Lonchura striata: one gene and its partner. The protein of the gene in region 2 interacts with the protein of the main gene of each other region in a biochemical or structural test. Links are inferred from orthologs where the notes say so. Each region holds a gene or a part of one and is shown on either strand. Other genes may lie near its edges.

Region 1 (6,906 bases), on a different chromosome or scaffold from region 2:
TAGGAATCCTTTTGGAATGTCCCTGCCCTGCTGGAAAAAGAAGGCAGCAACTCCTCAGGGCAGTTCTCAATGCTTCCTGCTCCTCATTTTGATCTTTTCAGCCCAAAATTTGAGGGCTTTAAGTCCTCTTCAAGCTGGTTTATCCATTCTGATTTCCTTTAAAAAATGGACTGATCAAGCACAAGAGTTAGCTGAGAACAATCCCAAAACCAGGGAAAAACTTGAACTGAATCCACTCAAACTCGACCTAGGAGAGTTCCAATTAAAACCAACCAGAAACATTCAGAGATAATTAGAGAGGGATATGAAATTCCAATAAATCCATCCCTTCCAACACGTGCTTTGCCTCACAAACAAACAGGGCTGTGTGATTTGCTAAGCAGATTTACCTGGACCTCAGCAGCCTGAAGGAATCAGGACTTTCACTCTCACAGGATTTTAATAATCAAACTCTCCCCCTTGACAAAGTTCATGTTTGCTCTGCTGAGCTAAAGCAAACAAAGCAAACCAGCCAATTAACTGTAAAATTCATCAGCCACGGGAGTTTTATTGAGAATTGAGCATTAACGGGGGTTTTATTGAGAATTGAGCATTAATGCTGCTCCACGGGTTAAGCAGCACTAAAAAAAGGCATTTAAAGATGTCATCAGTTCATTCCTCCTTTGCCATGCAAATGACAATTTCCAACAGCATCATGATTTAAAACCATGAAAAAAAAAATCCACTCAACCTTAGCTGGTTTAAAAATAATAAAGTTACAGGAGGATAATTCAAACAGGGAGGATATTCGGCTCTAACAGGGGTGGGAAGAAGGGGAAGCTCCTGTGCACAAACTTCTCAGCTCCACATAAAACAGCCCCAAGAATTTCCAGCCATTCCCACCAGGCCCCAGGACATTTTTCTCCTCAGAGCTGCCAGCCCAGGTTTTATATCTGAAGCCATAAATTAAAATTTCCGAGCTGTGCAGGGCTGGGAGGTGCAGCAGCCACACACAGACTGGTCACTGACTTCACCTCAGGAGGCAGAAAAGCTCCTGGTGAGATCATGATAAGTGAAATAAATTTTAAATGATCATTTTTAAATGATCACAGAGTATTTTTGAAGGTTCACTGAATCCCTGGTTTGGAAGGAGATGAAAACTTCCACCATCCCAGGCTGCTCCAAGCCCTTTCCAACCTGGCTTGGGGTAATTCCAGCCACAGCTTCTCTGGGAAATCCATCCCAGCCCCTCACAGGAAAAAATTTATTCTCAATATCCAACTTAAACTCGCCGCTTTAAAGCCATGAAGCTTCTGAAGCAGCCCTGGTTAAAAGACAACATTGCAGGTGGAAAATGGAAACATTTTAATCTTTATTTCCAGAAGATCCTCACTCAATTTTAATGAAAACACGGCTGCTACAAGGCTGGGCTTTTCCAACTCATCTTTTCAAACTCTGTCTTCTTATAGGAATCCTCAAAAAAAAAAAAATTAAAGAAAAATTAAAAAATAAAATCCTCCTCCCTGAGCTGGGACCTCCCACATCAGGCACATCAAACCAAAAATCTGCAGGAATTAAAGGAATTCAATAAATAAAAGGAATTTTTAAAAAACTTTTGGAAGGGGTAACTCTGAGCTGGGATTTATTTGGGACAGCCCAGTGACACGGAGGGCTGGAGCTGGATTTTTATTTCAGAAATATTATTTTTATTTCTCACCTGAACCCCTGAGCTCTGGGGGAGCTCAGGACTGAGCCCCAGCAGCTGCAGGAGGATGAAAATGGAGCAGAGAGAGCTGACACCCCAAAGTGACAGCACTGACACCCCAAAACTGGGCTCCAACAGCTCCCGCCAGCTGGACCCAGGCACTGCAGCCCTGGCACCCCCAAACTCAGAGTATTTCACCCAAAGCCAGAATCTGCAGCCCTGGCACCCCCAGTACCAGGGTGCTTCACCCCAGCACCCCCAAACTCAGAGTATTTCACCCAAAACCGGGCACTGCAGTCGTGGCATCCCCAAAACCGGGGTATCTCACCCTGACACCCCCAAAACCAGAGTATTTCACCCAAATCTGGACACTGCAGCCATGGCACCCCTAAAACCAGGGTATTGCAACCCTGGCACCCCTAAAACCAGGGTATTTCACCCAAAACCGGGCACTGCAGTCCTGGCACCCCCAAAACCGGGGTGTTTCACCCTAGCACCCCCAAAACCCAGGGTATTTCACCCAAAGCCTGGCATTGCAGTCCTAACACCCCCAAACCCAAGGTATTTCACCCTAACACCCCCAAACTCGGGGTCTTACAGCCCTGGCACACCCAAACCCGGGGTACTGCAACCCAAACACCCCCAAAGCCGGGCACTGCAGCCCTGGCACCCCCAAAAATGGGATATTTCACCCCAGGATCTCCAAACCCAGGGTATTTCGCTTTGACACCCTCAAAACCGGGTTGTTTCACCCCGAAACGCCCAAAGCCAGGGAATTTCACCCCGACACCCCCAAACCCGGGGTATTTCAACCCAAACACCCCCAAAACCGGGGTATTTCACCCTGACACCCCAAACCCGCGGTATTTCACCCCGGCACCCCCAAACCCGCGGTATTTCACCCCAGTCCCGGGCTGCCTCACCCTTCACGCCCCGCAGCTCCCGCCCAGCCCGGAGCTCCCCGGAGGCGCGGCCGGCGCTGCCCTCAGCGCTCAGAGCCCCCGGGCCGCCCTCCCCGGGAGCCCCCGAGGACCCCCCCAGGCCCCGCAGCGACCCCGCCGTGACTCAGCGGCCGCGCCGGCCCCGCCGCCCTCAGGAGCGCCCGGGACGCCGCTGAGGGGCGAGGGCGGCGGCGGCGGCGGCGCGGGGCGGGCGGGCTGCGCGCACCGCCCGGCCTCGGGGCGGCTTCTCCGGCCCCACGCCATCCCCTCGCCGTGCCCGGAGCTGCCCGGGCCGCGCCCGCCCCTCAGGGCCCTCACCCATCGCGGCGGCGGCGGCTCCGGTGGCGGCGGCGGCGGCCAAAATATGGCGGCACCGGGAGGGGCGCGGGCCCGACGGCGGCCGCGCGGGGCCAAAGCTGTGCGCGCGGAGCGGCCGCCGGGCGCCCCCAGCGGGCGGCGGCGGAACTGCACCGGCGGCGCGGCCCGGCGGCCACCCGTGTCCTGACACCCGTGTCCTGCCACTCGTGCTTTGTAACCCGTGTCCCGCCACCCGTGTCCTGCCACCCGTGTCCCGCCACCCGTGTCCCGCCACTCGTGTCCTGCCACTCGTGCTTTGTAACCCGTGTCCCGCCACCCGTGTCCTGCCACCCGTGTCCCGCCACCCGTGTCCCGCCACTCGTGTCCTGCCACTCGTGCTTTGTAACCCGTGTCCCGCCACCCATGTCCTGCCACTCGTGTCCTGACACCCGTGTCCTGACACCCGTGTCCTGACATCCGTGCTTTGTAAGCCGTGTCCTGGCACCCGTGTCCTGGCACCCGTGTCCTGACACCCGTGCTTTGTAAGCCGTGTCCTGGCACCCGTGTCCCGACACCCGTGTCCCGCCACCCGTGTCCCGCCACCCGTGTCCTGACACTCGTGCTTTGTAAGTCGTGTCCTGACACCCGTGTCCTATCACCCGTGTTTTGTAACCCGTGTCCTGTCACTCGTGTCCTGACACCCGTGTCCCACCACCCGTGTCCTGCCACCCGTGTCCCGCCACTCATGTCCTGGCACCCGTGCTTTGTAAGCCGTGTCCTGGCACCCGTGTCCTGCCACTCGTGCTTTGTAAGTCGTGTCCTGACACCCGTATCCTATCACCCGTGTTTTGTAACCCATGTCCTGTCACCTCTGTCCTGGCACCCGTGTCCTGGCACCCGTGTCCTGCCACTCGTGTCCTGCCACCCGTGTCCTGGAACCCATGTCCTGACACCCGTGTCCTGTCACCCGTGTCCTGTCACTCGTGTCCTGCCACTCGTGTCCTGACACCCGTGTCCTGACACCCGTGCTTTGTAACCTGTGTCCTGACACCTGTGTCTTATCACCCGTGTTTTGTAATCTGTGTCCTGTCACTCGTGTCCTGTCACCTCTGTCCTGGAACCCGTGTCCTGTCACCTATGTTTTGTCACCACTGTCCTGTCACTCGTGTCCTGCCACTCATGTCCTGTCACTCGTGTTTTGTCACCTCTGTCTTGTCACCCATGTCCTGCCACTCGTGTCCTGTCACTCGTGTTTTGTAAGCCGTGTCCTGCCACCCGTGTCCTGTCATCCATGTTTTGTCACCTCTGTCCTGGCACCCATGTATTGTCACTCGTGTCCTGCCACCCGTGTCCTTTCACCCGTGTCCTGTCACCTCTGTCCTGTCATTCGTGTCCTGTCTGCCACTTGTGTCCTGCCACCCGTGCTTTGTCACCTCTGTCCTGTCATTCATGTCCTCGCATTTTGTCACCTCTGTCCTGCCGCTCGGGTTCTGTCACTCGTGTCCTGTCACTCGTGTCCCATCACTTCTGTCCTGTCACCCGTGCTCTCTCCTGCCCTGTCCCCTCTGTGCTGTCCCTCGTGTCCCGTTCCCGTGGCCATTCCCCAGCAGATCCCCGAGGATCTTTTCGGCTTCTGTCCAATTGTCTACTTGTCGTGGTTTGACACGGGAAAAGAATTTTCCCGGAAAGAAGAGTTCAATTTAAATATTGACCAATTAAAGGTAGACACGCCTCTGAGAACACAGAGGGGTGATTAACAAAATTCCCAGAAAAACTCACTCTCTTTAGTTCCAGAACACCAACATTGCGCCAATGTCAAACCATAACATCTATCCTTAATTTTGAGGTGGTCCCCAAGGTCCTATGAGGTGTCTTTTAACCAAATTGAGGAAACTTTTGTCCTTTTTAAGGAGAGTTACTTTTTTACTCCATCAACAGGGGCCACACTCCCACAGGTTCTTCTCCCTGTCCTGAAGGAGATGTGAGAAAAGGAAAATTGTGTCATCCCCACCCTAGAGGAAATGAGGACACCCGGGACAGGCAGAGACTCTGAGAACTCCTTTAATTGCTGTTAACTGCAAAAGGTTTGGAGAAAGTCGTCGTTACAAAACTACCAGCTGTTAGAATTGCTCCTGGTTTCTCACCCCAGCTAGAAAAGGCTCAGGGAGATGTGGAATAGTTCGAGAACGGAGAATATTGCACAACCAACCCAAGGGTTAATTCGGCTAAAGAAGAAAAGGAAGCGACACGGATGCTGCAGCCTCAGCCCCAGGTCCCCACTGGTGTCCCCCGTGTCCCCTGCCCACCACAATCCCAGCCAGGACAAGCTGAGGCTCTGCTGGACACAAGGCTTTGGCAGGAGAGGGATGCTCCCACCAGGAGCCACCCCAAAGAAGGAAAACCCAAATTTAAAACCCCAACTCTTCCACGTGCACCTCGTTTAGTGTTGTCCAAACCCAGCAAGGAACCCCCAGGCCTGAAAAGGGCAGCACAAAGTGTCACCCCAGCACCCCCAAGGCCAGGGAGAGCAGCGAGGGCACCGTCCCCTTGGGATAACCGTGCAGCAGCAACATCTCGTGTTGTGACAAGGAAACTGCCCCCAAAAAGAGGCCTGAGGGGGGTGAAGCAAGCAGAGGAGGAACCCAAGTGAGCACAGCAAAGCTCGTGGTGGCTGCAGGGCCTGGCACGGGTGGCACAGGGGTCAGATGGGGACACACGGCCTCTGCCAGCAGGGATCACCCACATTTGGGAGCTTCTTTCTCCCCAGGCTGGCCAAGCAGAGGTTGAAGTGCTCAGTGGGTCAGGCTGGGCTGAACTGGCCACCAACACGAGGGGTTCTGCTCCCAGCTGACCCAAACCACTGCCAGCCCAGCAGGGCTGCAGTAAGAGCAAGCCACGAGGATTTTGCCTGGAGAATTTCACTAGAAAGACACAAAACCCAGCGCAGGAAGGTGGTGCAGCTGCAAAAGGTGGGGAGCAGCAGGCCTTGGCTCTTTGAGGAACTGCTGGAAACGGGAGTTTCCACGAGAAAAAGCTTCCAAGACAAAAAGCCAGGCAGAAGCTCAGGGTTTGGCAGGGGGGTTTGGCTCCTTCCAGGGTCAAAGCCACGAGCCAAGTGCCTTTTTCTGCAGCACCTCCAGCCCTCAGGCCCTCCCTGGGTGCTGCTTTCCAGGTGGGAATTGCAGAGCAGGCACAGCCACGTCCAGGATCCTCTCAGCTGTAGGTTACACGTGCACACACAAGCAAGGAAGGAGCCAGCTGGCAGCCTGGCAGCACCCAGCACTCCTGGCAGGGCTCTGAGTGCCCAGCTGGCCCCAGGGACCCCTCACTCTGCCTCTCCCTAACACGGCAGGGTCAGTTTTGGCTTGGCCAGTCTCTAGGACCTATGGAGAAGTCAGGCTCCTGTGTGCCAGCGACCTCCTGCTTCCTCCTCCTGCATCTGAAGGGGTGACTTGAGTTGCCCCCAGGTTTTTGCAGGGATGGAACTCCTCCAGCCTGGAACTGCAACCCCCAGCACAGTCACACACAAAGGAACAGCCGGTCCGAGATTGGATTCACATTCGATGGTGGAAATGAGCCTGTGACACACACTGGAAGCAGCTGCTTTATTCCCAGTCTTCCCACTCTTCATCTTCCAGCTGCAAGCAAGAGGAAATCCGTTTCTGAGCTGTTTCTGAGCTGTTCTCAGCTGTTTGTTTCTGTAACTCAACAGCTCCTCCTTCCCAGGGCACCTGATGTATCCTCACACTCCCACAACAGGGATTTGCCTGCTCTGTTCCCCTTGGGAAACCTGCACACTCATCCCAGCACCCCGAGGCCTTGGTGATGCTTTTTGGGGGGCAGTTTTGCCTCTCCTGACTCACCTCCCCAGCCACTTCCACCTTGGAGAGCGCCAGCTGCACCTCCTCTTCTGTCATGTCCAGATCAAAATCCTTTTCCCAGTCCTCGCTGATATCCGTGCTGGAGCCTGGAAGCACAAAAATC
Region 2 (7,713 bases):
TTTCCAAATGCCTAAGTGTACACTGACCCAAGCAGACTTTAAGAGATGGTCATAGTTCAAAAAATGGGGATTGTGCAGATGCAAAAGGAAAAATAAACAAGATTTTGGCACAAGAAGGAAAGAAGAAGCACTGAGGTTAGAAAAGACACAAGGAAACAACAGCTGCCAAAGGGAGATTGTGTCTCCCAACACGTACTCTCATTTCAGAAAATATTTCATATTTGAGAAAGAGCAGCATTAGGCTTCCAATGCCAACGGTTTGCTTTGAATTAGATTCAAATTTCAGTTCATTTTTCTATTGTAGAATGAGTTGATCACCAGAGCTCTCAGGTTCTTGCACTGTTAAGCACAGTAAGTTGTAGTAACAACTATTAGCCTGTGTTACAGAGCCCTGGGTCTGCACAGCATTTGAGACCTCGTGGAATTCCTCTGTCAACTCAATACTTCACAGTGGTGCTGTGAGCAAGACAGGTTTTTTGGTCAAATATGGATAGGCTAGAATATACCCTTCATTATAGCTCAATTACTGAACCAGTGAGTGTTAACTCCCTACATGTAGGTGATGCCTTAAGTTGTAATTTTCATATTTTTCAGATTCTGTACGGCATTAGTAGATAGCTCTGAACTTCATAAAAATTGTTAGCAAGTTCTCTTCGCAGTTTAATTAGAAAAAACAATCATTTTCCAGCCCAAGAACCAAGGACACCATTGCAGCTTCAGCCCCAAAAAGTATAAACAACAGGAGGATAGGACTTAATAACCTGAAGCTGTAATTGAAAGCCGTTCCCAATATGGAAATGGACCAAAACTTATAAAAGTGTGAAAATTCGTGACCCATAATCCATCTTGGGTGTAGTGTTGGCCAGGCTTTTGTGCTGCCCAAGGTGTATACTTTGAAGACTTAAAATAAATATGTACTTTCCTTTAACACTGTCTAGCTTTTGTTCTAGGTAGCCTCTCAAGGCAGCATAGGGGGCTCTACAATGAAGCAAAAGCCCAGGAAAGCCAGTGCTGAGGGCAGGTTGCTTGTGACATCCCCAGTGATGTGAGCTGCCAGCTCCAGAGAGACAAACAGAGTTTCTCTTTAACACCCTCTGCCTGCCCCAGTGAGTCCCTGCTCAGAAATGGTGAGTGGGTTTGGGAGGTAAGATGTCTTAATTAAATCCCTGATTTTTTTTCCCACCGCAGTCAGAAGTTCTGCCAGTCGTTATTGATAGGGATGCACTTGGATCCTGAGAGTAAATGCCTCCAGAGCCCATCGCGGTGACACGTGTCTCTTCAGCAAACAGATCCGAAGCCAGGGGCAGGAGCACTTCTCACATCTTCAGCCGGACTTGTTCTGCTGCCCAGTCGCTGCCGCTGTCCTCCCGAGCCGTTCGCTGACTCATCAGCTTGTGCATTTGCCCTAATTAGTCATTTGCAAGCACCATTGTGCTCAGGAAGTTCTCTAACGTAAGCGTGAGTGGGAACTTAGAGCAGCAATAAAGGTCAAGAAAAGTGACTAAGGCATCATATACTGGAATAAGTTTCTGTTATCAGCCACTGGGAAAGTGGGAAAGAAAGTGTATATGCAGACTATTAGAGGAGTGACACAAAAGTTTAATAAAGGGAAGGATGTGTGTGAGGGAGAACATTTGCTTAACATCTCTCAAGAACTGCTACAGTATGAAATGCTTAATTGCAGAACAAGTTTCCACTAACACCCTTCAGAAACACAGCTGGGTTTTGAAGCATTATTCTTTATTATGAGCTCGGGGTAAGCATGTTTGGCATGAAAGAAATGTGTCTCGTAAGGAGACCACAACACTTACTCACAACTCCCCAGACAGTTCATGCTGGGAAGTCTGATACCTTTGAACAATCATTTGAGCAGCATTAGCAAAGTGTAGACTGGAATTTTCTCCAGTGATTTTTACTCAGGGGTCACCAACACATCCCGAGCTGTTATGTCCAAGTGATTTAAAGTGAGCAGAACCTTAGGTAAGAATACTCAATGATAAACCCTTTTGATGTATTGCACATTATGTGAATTTGGATAGTAGTAATAAAAGTGCACAAGTGAACCCTAAGACATCCATGCTTATAGGCACTAAAATTGTCATTCAAAGAGTCACTAGAGTGAAAACACAATCCTATTGGGTAGGGTAAGGTGGGTTCTGTAGCTTATAACTCAGCAGTCCCTGGTCCAGACTGCATCAAGTGCCTCTTGGTCTTTGAAGGGCACTGAGATTGCAGTCAAAGTAAAGAAGAGGCTTTCACTTTCAAGTGTGCCAGGCTCACCAGGAACCACTTCAACCTCAATCTGAGCGATTAGAGAAGCTGCAACGGCTGCTCTGAGTTGCACCAGCCTCCTCTAAGGCACGGGAAGTTCCTCTGTTATCACCCCTTCACTACCAAAAATCCCCGGATGCCTTCCAGGGGCTCTGGTGGGGAAGGTGGCATTGAGCTGGCCTTGTCATTTCTGCACCCACCAGGAGATCCCTCCCCATTTAGCCAGAAAATCCTCTAGGGGCTGTTATGGTGACTCTGTGAACAGACTAAAAAAACCTACACAAGCTGCAGTGCACAACTGAATTTCTTACTATGTCTGAGCTGCCTAAACTTCATTTTGAAAGATAAAGTTGTCTGTGAGCCCTTGGGGAGGGCTTCTTGGTACTTATGCAAGACACTTGAGGTTGAGTCTTGCTTAGATTGTTTTTCTTCTCAAGGCTTCAGTAAGCACAGAACAACAGAAATATCAGTAGTTCACAGCCACACTGCCATGGGCTATTGTGTTGTCACAGCTCATAAGCAAAGCAGAGCTGGGCTTTGTCCATGTTTGGATGCAAAAACCTTGAGGGAATAAAAGTAGTCAGAAGCACCTGTGCCTCTTCCACATATCTGACTGCTGTGGGCAGAAGCAATCATTTTCATACAGGAACTCCTTGTGATTGCTAACAAATGTCACAGTCACTTCTTTTTCTTCTTCTAAATAAAAAAATAATAATAATAACCCCCCCAATACAGAACACCCATGACTGTATGCCTAAACCAACCTGGAAGTTGGGAATCCACAGCAGAAGTGTTAGGAAGGTGCAGTACTGAAACACCATCACTTTGCCCTGCAGGTGTTTCTTATGTGCACACAGCAGCTAAAGAATGCCACTCATGCCTGTCAAAGCTGCTTTTTTTTTAAAGGTATCATTACTGCTGAGCTGCAAACCGAGTAGTCTCATAAGGTTCAGCTCCAGATGGTCACTTGAAGTCCTTGCTAGTAGGAACCCACAAGATGTAAAGGAACGCCTGAGCTCTGTGGGGTCACTCCACCTGGAACTGTGCCTTCCCTGCCTCCCCAGAGTGCTTACCCACACATGACCCTGAGCTAAGGGTACAGAGCTAAGGCTCTTAACTTTAAATGTGTGGGCTCTGCCCCAGTTTTCCTCTCCTTGCTCTCCCATGGCTGTATCCTGGCTCCTGATCCAAGAGGCCACTTGCCTGTGTGGCCATGTCAGTGCCAGGTGTCCAGCCCCTCCTGCTGTGCCTCCAGGGCCAGCTAAGGTCAGCAGGAGATCCTGTGGCTCTCAGGTGAGCAGTGCCTGAGGCCAGGCTTGCCATGGGGGGCACAGGGAGAGGAAAATTGGGCACAGGCACTGGGAAAATGGCATTGGATCTAGGCCAGCCTGGGTGGGTGGCAGGGAAGGCAGAGGGGTCACAGTGCCTCAGCACAGCCTCCTGGCTCTGCTGTTGGGTTTGCTTTGGGTTTGGGAAGTTGTAAAACTTGCTCGAAATGTGCTTAATTACCTGTCGGTTCCCCTTCTGGGCTGCCCGGCTGTTGAGCTGACTGTTCCCTTTAATTAATGTGAAGTTCTGAACCCTTTAACTGGAAATGGACTAGAAAATGTCCTGTGAGGAGTGGCTGCGGGACCTGGGTTTGCTTTGTCCAGAGAAGAGGAGGTGCAGGGGGTGCTCCATCACTGTGTAGAACTCACGGAGAGGAGGTGTAGGGAGGTCTCTGCTGCCGTGGCTGCAGTGAGAGGACAGGAGGACATGCTCTTAATGCACGATAGGGAAGATTCAGGTTAGGTAGAAAATAAAAATGTCTCTGTTAGGATGGTCAGGCATGGGAATAGGCTCTTCGGGTATGGTGGAGTCACCATCCCTGGAGGTGTTTAAGAGGCGCTGGGGATGCGATTTAGGGGCTGCAGGAGCAGTGCCAGGTGTATGATTGGACTGGATGATCTTAAAGGTCTCTTCCAACCTCGATGTTGTAGAAACATCCCGGGCTTTTACTGTACTACACCTCTGGGAGAGGCAGCGGAGTCTAGCACTGACCAAAGATGAAAGGAGGCGATAAAGAAGGGACCATCTCCTCGCGCTGTGCCCACGGGGGTGCGATTTGCGGCGGGACCCGCACGGGCCCCGCCGGCGGGCGCGGTGGGGCCGAGGGGCGCTGTGGGGCCGCTGTGGGGCCGGCCGGGAGCGATCGGGCCGCGGTGGGGCCGCGGTGGGGCCGGCCAGGAGCGATCGGGCCGCTGTGGGGCCGCGGTGGGGCTGCGGTGGGGCCGGCCAGGAGCGATCGGGCCGCGGTGGGGCCGCGGTGGGGCCGGCCGGGCCCGGGCCCGCCCCGCACGCAGCGCCGCACGTGAGGCGCGGCCCCCGCCCAGCTGAGCGCTCAGCTGACCCCGCGCAGGGGCCGGGCCGCGCCGCCGCTCCTCACTGGCGCAGCGCGGGCCCCGCGCCGCGCCCGCACCTCCCCGCAGCCCGTGCCCCGATGCTCTGAGCCCGCGCGGCCCCACACCCGGCTCGGCGCCGCCATCTCCCCGCCACCGCCATCGGAGCCTCGCGTCCCAGGGAGCCGGCGGGAGGAGAAGCCGTCCCGCCGCCATGGACAGCCCCGGCGGCGTCACCGACAAGAAGAGGTAGCGATGCCGCGCCGCCCCCCGCCGCTCTCTGCTGCCGGGCCCCGCCGCCCCCTGCTTTGTTACCGCCGCCCCCTCCTCGTCCTCTTCCCCGCCGCCCTCGCCCGGCCCGCGGAGCGCTCCGCTCTTCCATTCCTCCTTCTCCTTCTCGTCCACGTCGCCATTTTGTCGGCGGGGGGAGCGGGCCGGGGCTCGGGGCCGGGGGGAAGCGCCCGGGCTCGGCCGCGCTGCCCGGCAGCGACCCGGGGCCGCTCCGCTCCCGGAGACGGGCGGGCAGGGATCGATCGTGCCCCGTGCCCGGCGCGCTCCCAGCCCGCCGTGCCCCGGCTTTGTGCGCAAAAGGGCCGGCTCGCATTCTGGAGATACTCGGCTTTTAAAAAATCCCCAAAAGTCGCGCTGGGGAGGTGTAAGGGGGGAGGGGGGGGCGGATGGACAATGTGAGTTGAGGAGTATGAATAATTCACCGAGGATTGTAAGCGCAAATTAGAGGAAAGGGTGGGGGGGAATAAAACCCTTAAAAGCCTTTGTTAGGCGGTGAAGTTTAAGGAGCCGGGGGGCTCGGGTGAGCAGGTCCCGGCGGTGGGGCTTTGTGGAGGGATTAATTGCCGCGTTCGCCATCTGCAGAAGGTTTGTTTATATGGATATCGATACCTTTTCTCGCCTTTTAATTATTCGAGATGCGTTTTGCCTGCCCTTGTATCCAAGGGTCATCTGAGCAGATTAAGCGCAGTAAGTGTTCCAGCGTGTAAGTTGTGTCGGGAAGGAGCCTGGCCGCTTGTAAAATGGATGGTGAGCTTTGTGCCGGGCTGGGAGGAGGCGCCGGCGGCCTCGGAGCGCCTTTGGAGCCGGTGCCGGGGAGGGATGGGAGAAGCGCCTCTCGGTCCGGTGAAATCCCAGCACGGGGGCACCCGGGGTGGCATTCCACCTCTGGTTTCTCTACTCCGGGAGGATGGCTCCTGAGGAGCCTGTGAGAAAATGTTGCAACCAAAATGATTAATCTGCTCTTTGCTCTGATGCCCTAATTTAGTGGCAGGTCTAGGAAAGGGGTTTGAGAGTTGTTTTCTGAGACTTTTATTTTGGTTTATTGGGCTTTTTTGTTTATCTTTTTTATCTTACTTTTGCCTTTGAGCATTTGTTATTTTTAACTTACCGTTCTGCCCCACTGGAAAACTTTTTCTTTTTCTTTTTTTATTTTTTTTGAATTGCCTTATCCTGGATGTAATCTGCTTTCTTCAGAATGCAAGAATGAGTATGCAAAGCTCATCCTTCCTTCCTAAAGGCAGGGCTTAAGAAAGAGAATTTGTTGTTTTCTGTTTCATGCAGACAAAGTTCAAAGTCAGGAATGTTTCTTATAAAGGAATATTCAGATTACTCCTGTTGCAGGGTTTTAATGGAAAACATAGAGCTGTGTCTGTGGTACATTCATCCTGGGGGCTGTGGATGTACAGTTGAGCGAAGATGGCTAAGCAAAAAAAGGAAGGATATGAGCTCAGCAGAGAACTTCATGAAAATAGAAATGCTTGCATTTCTCAAAAACCTGGGTTGTTTTTGAAGGGTTTAGGTTTGATAGTGTCCATATTCAGAATACCTTGAAGGGAGAAGTCCTTTACGTCCTTTTCTTTATCACCTTTGATGATAAAACTTTGGCTAATTGTATATACAGTACACCTCAATTTTGGCATGGGTTAAGATTCTTTTATTCCTTGCCTCTCCCTCTGCTTGTATGTGGATAGTGTTTATCTCTTGATAGTTAATGTAAAGCTTCTTATTCACTTAATTATATGCTGTGAGATTCAGAAAATATGGAATTTGCCCAAGTTTATGTCTCAGTCTTTAAAGTGAAGTTTGGTCATAGCAGTATCTGAAGGTGTGGATTTTTATACTGGCCTGTTGAGTCAATTTTTTGATGTGGTTCCAAGCTTCTTGTATATGTACAGGGGTCAAGATTCCCTAAGAAATCAAGTATCACGCCATGATTAGATACTGAATTATTTGGGTTTTAGCCATTCTTCAGTAGTTGTATCACTTTGATGTGCTCCTGGGTTTTCCCCCAGGTGCTCAAGGACTGCGTTTCTATGCATGGAGTGGGTGAAACAGAGTTGTTGGGAGCTTTGTTTGCTCATCCACTCTCATTTGAACCAAATTTAAGGCTTTTGGTGAGAAGTATGGGATTTTTCTCAATATTCTTTTAACAAACTCCAGTGTGCAGATGGCTGATGTAGTGAAAAGCTTTTCCTCGGGTCTGTGCTGTGACACTTCACTATTAGCAGAGGAATTCTAGTGTCTTTTTAAGTAAACAGTCATTTAGGGTTATGGATTAGTCCTTACTTTTGTAGTGGCTTGCAGCTCGTAGGTAACGCGGAGTCATTTTGTTAGTGTGCTGTAAGTCTTTAGAACATAAAATACATATTTTAAATGCTATAGGTACTAAATAAATATGGTAAGTGATTTTTGGAGCATTCATTCTGGGTCTTAAGATGGTATAAGCCAATGAAATTTAATATTCTGACATGGGTGCCTTGCAGAAGAACGTCAGCTTTTCAGTTCCTCAGAGTTGGGCCTTGAAACTTATTTTTTAGTGTCTAAAGGGGATGATTTGGAAGATCAGGGATTTTCTGCTGGATTTTTGCCACCGAAGTCCAGCTCCAGAATCTGTTTGAGAAGCCTGTACCCTGTGCTGATGGCTCTGAAGTGCAATGGCTACCCCTGTTTTTTCTTAAACGTGTATGAGGTCTTTAGGATTGTGTGTACCAGTGCTTTTGTCTGTTAATTTCTCTCAGCGCTGGGGGAACTGAGCCACCATTGCTAGAGTCGA

Evidence for each region.
Region 1: the proteins of HIF1A (region 2) and KPNA6 form a complex in vitro, tested with the Homo sapiens proteins (2 studies listed by BioGRID). The link is inferred for Lonchura striata from reciprocal best matches to the Homo sapiens genes HIF1A and KPNA6.

What each region holds. Positions count from the first base shown.
Region 1 is NC_134628.1:975,019-981,924, reverse strand, and holds the start of KPNA6 (importin subunit alpha-7), read right to left. Parts: upstream 3,011-6,906; 5' UTR 2,948-3,010; coding exon 2,944-2,947; intron 1-2,943. Other genes in the region: BSDC1 (BSD domain-containing protein 1), read right to left, coding at 6,528-6,560, 6,786-6,889. UniProt on the Homo sapiens protein: Functions in nuclear protein import as an adapter protein for nuclear receptor KPNB1. Binds specifically and directly to substrates containing either a simple or bipartite NLS motif.
Region 2 is NC_134608.1:6,158,033-6,165,745, forward strand, and holds the start of HIF1A (hypoxia-inducible factor 1-alpha), read left to right. Parts: upstream 1-4,709; 5' UTR 4,710-4,863; coding exon 4,864-4,898; intron 4,899-7,713.